Nothobranchius furzeri: one gene and its partner. The protein of the gene in region 1 purifies or fractionates together with the protein of each later gene. This does not show direct contact. Links are inferred from orthologs where the notes say so. Each region holds a gene or a part of one and is shown in the gene's direction. Other genes may lie near its edges.

Evidence for each region. The genes of interacting proteins can lie anywhere in the genome.
Region 2: the proteins of rassf6 (region 1) and serine/threonine-protein kinase 4 purify together in Homo sapiens (affinity purification with mass spectrometry; 5 studies listed by BioGRID and IntAct, counting the BioPlex papers as one, with this or other methods). This does not show direct contact. The link is inferred for Nothobranchius furzeri from reciprocal best matches to the Homo sapiens genes RASSF6 and STK4.

The regions. Positions count from the first base shown.
Region 1 is NC_091746.1:44,755,754-44,759,900, reverse strand, and holds the start of rassf6 (ras association domain-containing protein 6), read left to right. Parts: upstream 1-1,309; 5' UTR 1,310-1,444; intron 1,445-3,087; 5' UTR 3,088-3,088; coding exon 3,089-3,132; intron 3,133-4,147.
Region 2 is NC_091743.1:73,684,598-73,688,253, forward strand, and holds part of serine/threonine-protein kinase 4, read left to right. Parts: intron 1-1,739; coding exon 1,740-1,854; intron 1,855-2,342; coding exon 2,343-2,507; intron 2,508-2,697; coding exon 2,698-2,865; intron 2,866-2,947; coding exon 2,948-3,085; intron 3,086-3,249; coding exon 3,250-3,375; intron 3,376-3,512; coding exon 3,513-3,656. UniProt on the Homo sapiens protein: Stress-activated, pro-apoptotic kinase which, following caspase-cleavage, enters the nucleus and induces chromatin condensation followed by internucleosomal DNA fragmentation.

The DNA.
Region 1 (4,147 bases):
GTGCTAATGCTCTAGGCAGTTAATTGAGTGTTGTAACGTGGCATTTATACTTTATTGAAATCAAACAAATGTACCAGAAATTTGGATTTAAAAAGGTATAAAAAGTTAGTTACAAGTAGATCCTAGCACATACTGATTGTTAGCATTAGCGATAGCATTATTATCATGAAATAATGAAAAAATCAGCTGTGAAAATCCAAAAACCTTTTACACCTGAGACTGTAATACTTTTTACACATGCTATTCAAATAAAATTTGGCCAATATCTTTAAGAATGTGAATAGGTGTAGCTGTTGTTGTGTACCTGTGAAAGATAGACATTTTCTCTGTGACTTCATAAAATGGCACAGATAATGTATAAAGCACAAAATAACTTGCTTTGCTGCAGTACTCAGAAGCTGTTCAAAGTCAGACAGAGTCAATATGACTTAAGGGGAACAGAATTCTTTAACAAAAATAAGATAAGGACAACTGTAAAGCAGAGATGTGTTTCTGTTAGATGAGTCAACCTGTGGAATAGCTATGACAGTGATTTAAAAAGATGTAGTTCATTGTCCTTGTTTAAAAATATGTTTAAAAATAGAATATTAGAAAAATATATAAACCAAGAATGAAAAGAGCAAAAATAATACTGAACCTCTTGATTGTTTTGCTTTGATGTAGTTACTTATCTAAGGTGTACATTTTTTGTTTTGTTTGTTTGTTTTGCTTGTTTGTTTGTTTGTTTTGTTTTGTTTTATTCTCAGCATGCAGCTCCAGGAGCTTCATGCAAAAAGATCTTTCTTAAAAGGGTTGGCGTAATAAGCAAATGCTTCAGCCAATACCTTTTGATTAGCCTTGTTTTGTGTTTCTTGCTTTGTGGTAATCTTTATTCTGTATTCATTGGAATATTTGAATGCTAATCAATAAAAATCAAATCAATCAAATCAAATCAACCAAGTTCCCGGTGAAAAAAACACAAAGACATTTGCACCACATAAATATCCATTTTGTGGTATGTAGTGCTCTATGTTGGCTATGTGAGCCCTTTTTCTACCTCTAATTTTGCAGCTGAATGCACACCAGCATGCTTCTGTCATGTGTGGCTCATAATGTCTTTCTTTCTTCACACACACACACACACACACACACACACACACACACACACACACACACACACACACACACACACACACACACACACACACACACACACACACACACACACACACATTCTGAAGGCAAGTCATATCTGGTGTCAGTCAGCCACTCCCTCTAAACGCTGTCTCAACGTGTTTTGCAATAATTAACCAGCTGCTGCGGTGTTGCTGCAAAGGCTCACCTCCCGCCACACGAACTATACACCAGACCTTTGAACACAGTCACTCAGATTCATAAACAAGACTCGAAACATGTAATGGACCTGCAACAATTTAATAGGAGATCTAAAGGCTGAACTGCACAGGTAGGAAGAAGCGTTCCTCTGACAATCAAATTAGAAGGCTTTAGCTGGAGCTACTACCACTACGTACACCTATTGTTTTCTATAAAAAAGAATCAAACATTTTCATCTTAAACTACTGACAAATGTTTGCCAAATTCATTGTCAATGTGTCATTTATTTTGTAATTTTAAAAGTTTATCTCACAATTGACATTTATTATGGCTGGAGTTCCATCGTGATTTTGTTCCCTCGGACAAAGTGTCTAGGTTTGAAACCTGTAGACCCAAATAAAATCAGATCAGAATGTGCAATCAAGAAATCGTAAATGTGCCATGAGGACGGGGTATAACAGAAAGACAAATCTATGAAGAAGGGAAAAGGAAGGTCATAAAGTCAGAGACTGGGTGCGTACTGGTTGAGTGTGTCATTATCCACGTAAAGACTTGAACATCATCTTTAAAAGGCAACAACAAAGCACCATAGGACCAGTTAGTGCAACATCAACAACTGCTTTCTGAAATGTTTGCTTTAAAATAACTTCTAAAATCAGTTTAAATTAGCAGAAAGTTGAAGTATTTGGTTGGTTAATTATTTATTGTAATAATTAATGCATTAATACTTCTAATTACTAATTAACTGACACTTTTGACAGCGAATCTAATTCTGTTTAATTCCTTTTGAACGGAGCCAGAAAATGTATTTATTGTTTGAGCAGAACAGTTGAGTTTGTGGGTTTTAACCAACAACGATAATGCCAAAAATTCTCTGCCAAACAATGTTTTCTGCTTGTTTGGTGTCATTTATTTGATTGTATGGCTGAAGTTCCAGGAGACAAGATTTACTTGTAATCTAACAGCATGTGGAAGAGCCGAGTGCAGCCACAACAGGCCTGGTACCATTTCCTCATGCTGGTCACCAGTTTAAATTTGCATTTGCTACCAAAACACAAAAATGTTCTTGCATGAATGGTCCAGTGGCAAACCAAAATGTGGGGGTTTTGTTTGCTTTTCATAAAAGAGCTTGAGATCTTTTCAGTCAGTGTTCTAAAAATGAACACACCTCAGTGAGTATGTTGATTGGCTACATTTAGAGCTCAAGGTGTTTCCTTTATCAAAAGGCTTTTCTGACGTCATGACTCAGGTAGCCATTTTTCTCATGCATGATATGGAAATCTGAAGCGCACACGCACACACACACACACACACACACACACACACACACACACACACACACACACACACGCACAAAGGCTAAGTACATTAACTCGATGTTAGGTGTGCATCAATCCAAGTCTCAAGACTCAAGACTCAAGACAACTTTATTAGTCCCCGAGGGGCAATTCGAGACAGCATTGTGAAGCAGCCGGCACTAAAATCTCTAAATTCTAAAAACACATCCAAATTACACATTTGTAAAACCCATAAAAACCTATATACACAATCATGTCATAAACTCACATGTGAATGACCAACAATGATTAAAACTTTGGCTCACACACACACACACACACACACACACACACACACACACACACACACACACACACACACACGTAACTACATGCACACACACATACAAGTAATGCACACTCCCCCTATCTGCACTGAGAATTAAGAAGAAGCACAGCTCTGGGAACAAAGGAACTTCTCCTCTGTGTTTTACAGCATGGGCATCGAAGTCGGCGTTTGGAGGGCAGCCACTCGAAAACAGTATGAAGAGGGTGTGATGGGTCTTTAATGATTTTCTGTATGACCGTCTGTATGACCGGGACAGGTCTGTTCAGGAATCCACTTACAGGAAGTTGTTCCACAGAACAACCAGTTTGAACAGCTGCAGATATGGAATGCAGCTCTCAATAATTCATCTGAGCTTCTCTTTCAAATCTGACTGTTAGTTCCTAAAAAAGCCCACAGTGCTCATTGTGTTTGGCCTGTCGTATTTTGTTTGGCAGATTACCAAAGGAGATGAATAACAAATAAAAAATAGATTAATGTCAACTAAAATAATGTAAATATACAGATGACTTGGTGCCTCAGCAGTTATTCATATTGTGAGTTTGTATCTTGAGGAATGTCTTTAAATCTTAATATGTAGGGCAAAATAAACATTTTAATAAACTTAAAAATAACTAAAAAGTAAAACAATACAGTGGTAAATGTTTTGCAGATTTTAAAAGGGAAAAAAAATACTTAATTTGAAATTACATTAAAAGCAGTATTTTTGTGTTGGAGTAAGACCTTATCAACAGATGCCCATTAGGGTCAAAAAGCTCTGAGGAGTGCAAACTTTAGCAAAATAACAAGAACATCAGACTCCCCTTCACCACTGGCAACATGTGAGCAGGTGAATGTGTAAAACAATAACATTGAGTGATGCAAGTTTTGTAACCATTTGTATAGTAATATGGCGTCGCCCAGACCAGATTTTTATGGTTATATGTTACAAAGCCGCCAATTTTTTTCTGCAACTGGGCACCAATTCATTAATTTTCAACAACATTTTGATGGATATTTGCAGAAAGTAATGGTAGAAACTACATATTGTCTCTTTAAACTAGCAACAGTCACGGTGATGTGGTGTAAAACTATACCCTTAAATGTATGGACTGCTCCCTAGTGCCAGGAAACTACACACTGCCGCTGGACACTTAATTAACAATAATGGCAACTTTAACAAAAGGATCCTTTGTTTATTAATGCTTAATAATGCACTGTGTAACATTAA
Region 2 (3,656 bases), on another chromosome or scaffold:
TTACAAGGAAAGCAAAAATAAATGTTGCCTTTTGGTCAAAAGATTGCTTCTGTTTACAATTTTAGAATCACTTTAGTTTACATTGTAAATTTGCATTTTTGGAGCATGACCAGTTTAAAGTCAGATAAAAATGTCCCATAGCTTTAACTAACTTGTACAACAAAGTAGTTAATCCTGGAGCTGACACTCTTTGTTAATACTGATTGTGAATTGATTTAAATCAAGAATCGATTTTGAATCGAATCAGCACCCCAAGAATCGGAATCGAATCAAACCGTGAGTTGTTCTAAGATTCACATCCCTACTAGCGATTACATATTAGTAACAAACGTGACTCATAAACGTGAACAAAATATTAAATAAGGAAGGCAAAAGTGGACAAGAAAAAGGTAATGCAGGATCCTGAGAAAGGCAGAATTGGTAGAAATAGCAGCATGAAAAGAAGGTAGTGATGAAGAATCAATAGAAGGTCCCACCAAAGCCTGAACAGGTGAGTGTAAAGGAGACCACTGAGTCCACTGATCTCAGGCTCAGGAGGAGAGAGCTCCAGAGTCTTTGGGCCACAGCAGGAGATGATCTGTCACCTTTGGTCTTTAGCCTGGTGCTGCACAACCAGTAGGCTTTGGTCACTGGACCTCAGGGACCTGCTGGGGGTGTAGGGACTGAGAAGATCACCAATGTATGATGGTGCTTGTCCATGTAAGGCCCTATAGACCAGAACCAGGATCTTGAAATGAACCCTGAAGTTGACTGGCAGCCAGTGAAGCTGGAGGAGAAGCGGGGTGATGTGGGTGTGTTTGGAGGACTTGGTCAGAAGCCGAGCACAGGCATTCTGAACCACCTGTAGCCGGTTCAGGGAGGTTCTGCTCAGACACGTGAAAAGAGAGTTACAGTAGTCTAAGCGTGAGGAGATGAAGGTGTGGATAACTGTCTCAAGTTCAGTGTGGGGCAGGATGGGACTCAGCTTAGCAATGTTCCTGAGATGGAAGAAGGAAGAGCGAACAAGAGAACTGACATGAGAATCCAGGGTGAGAGCTGGGTCAAAGGTCACACCAAGATTCCTGACAGGGTTTGGTGTGAGAAGCAAGCTGACCAAGAGAGTCTCTGACTTTGGGAACCAGCTTGTCTGGGGCACAGATGAGGATCTCTGCCCTCCTTTCATTTAGCTGTAGAAAGTTCCCACCATCCAGGTTTTGATAGTCTAAGCAGATGTGTAACAGCTGCAGCTTAGACATCTCATGGGGTTTAAAGGAGATGTACAGTTGGATGTCATCTGCATAACGATTGTAGGCGATTCCTTTAAAGGAGCTCAGGATGTGCTGAAGAGGAAGCAGATAGAGGAGAAAGAGCAGAGGCCCCAGCGCAGAACCTTGTGGGACATCATGGGTGAGGGAGTTGGTGGAGGACCTAAACTTGGAGACGGCCACAGAGAAGGATCCCTCAGATAGATAAGAGGAGAACCATTCCAGAGCAGTTCCTGATAGGCAAGTTTCTCTAAATAATAACAAAAAAAGATCTAATTTGAAGAGAACAAAGTTTTAAAGGGCAAGAATGGTCTCAGGAGGTTCAAAACAAAAATCTAAATGTTATCAAATACAGGCCAGTTACCAATGAATAAGATTATCAGTCAGTTATTTCAGGAGCTTGTATTTGGTAAACCTGTTGGAACATCATGAAACAAGTTTGTATAAATAAACAAACAAAATGATCCTTGTGATTAGACTCCTGTCTCTGTTCAGTCCTCATGTGGTCAGGTATTATGGCAGCTATTTCAAAAACAGCGACCTGTGGATCGTCATGGAATATTGTGGCGGAGGATCTGTGTCTGACATCATCCGAATACGTAACAAGACGGTAACTTAACACTCACACACACACTCACCTGCATGTGTTTGTGCAGCAGACTGTGTCAGGTGTCAAAGAGGGAAAGGCTGATGCTTTACCCATAATGCACGGGGAAGAATCAGCATGTAAATCTGACTTTCACCAGTTTGCTCAGCCATTTCTAATGTTTTGCTGTTGTTTTTGTATTTTATGGTTTAAATCCAGACTTGGCACTGATTTGTGACAATAACAAAGGTAGTTTTCACAATTTTAACATCCAAATAAACTTGGGATGCACCGAAAATTCAGCCACTGAAATTTTCGGCTTTCGGCCGAAACATCAAAACCACAGGAGACAACAGAGCCGAAACACCCATTTTGTTTCTTTCTTTCTCACTAAAAGTGAAATATGAACTGAAGCTGTTTTTGTTGTCTGTATGCACCAAGGTTGAGTGTTATAGGTTGTTGCTGTGGGTCACATCCCATAATAACCACATGTTTGTGTTTTGGCTTTATAGCTGACAGAGGAGGAGATCGCCACCGTCCTACAGTCGACCCTGAAGGGTTTGGAGTACCTCCACTTCATGAGGAAGATCCACAGAGACATCAAGGCAGGCAACATCCTGCTGAACACTGAAGGTCAAGCTAAACTGGCTGATTTTGGGGTTGCTGGACAGCTCACAGTAAGAAGAACCTCTGAGTTTAAACTCTGTGTTAAAATGCTATTTTTTAAAGGGAGAAAGTGGAATCTGTTGTCGCTTCTTACACTAATACAAATATAATGCATCTGACGTTAAAAAATCTTCTCTGGAGCTGAATTGAAAACGTTACCAGCTGCGTTTGTTCCCTTGGATTTTTTCTTGACCTTCTCAGGACACCATGGCAAAGAGAAACACCGTCATCGGCACACCATTCTGGATGGCTCCGGAGGTCATACAGGAAATTGGCTACAACTGCGTGGCTGATATCTGGTCCCTGGGAATAACCGGGATCGAGATGGCTGAAGGCAAGCCGCCTTACGCCGACATACACCCGATGAGGGTGAGGAAGGGGCAGTGGGTTTGTCTGAGCTCACACAAGTCAGTCGGTTAATGAAATGTTTTTGTTTCATTTGTTTCTAAAGGCGATCTTCATGATTCCCACCAACCCTCCTCCAACGTTTCGAAGCCCAGATCTGTGGTCGGCAAACTTTCAAGACTTTATCAGCCAATGTTTGGTGAAAAACCCAGAAAACAGAGCGACAGCCACTCAGTTGTTACAGGTAACAAATAAAAACTGGGAATAAGCAGTCGGTGTTGGGCTGGAAAACATTATTACACTTTCTGCTACCTATCTCTAACGGACATTTCTTTTGGTTACGACTGCATTTTAAAGGCATCAGACATTAGAAATTTCAGAGCCACTTTTGTTTTTTCCCACCTGCAGCATCCTTTTATCAAATCAGCAAAGCCCAACTCCATCCTGCGAGCTTTGATCCAGGACGCCATAGAGATAAAACTGAAAATACAAGAGGAGGCAGAACAACGAGAACAAGATGAAGAAGAGAATTCGGTACAGACATAAGAGTCTGATCCAATCTATAGAGAATAAATCAAATGTTTTACTTCCAGATTACAATCAGTCATTCAAGCTCAAGAGATAGGAGTGCTAACTCAGCTAAAATCTTCTCCCATCTTTGCGTCTGTCAGGATGAAGATGAGGTCGACCAGGGGACGATGGTTCGGGCACCAAGTGAGTCCGGAACGATCCGGGCTGCTGGTTCTTTAGCAGGTTCACTTAGCGGTACTATGATTGAACGTGCGGACACGGGAACCATGCAGTCACAGCTTGGC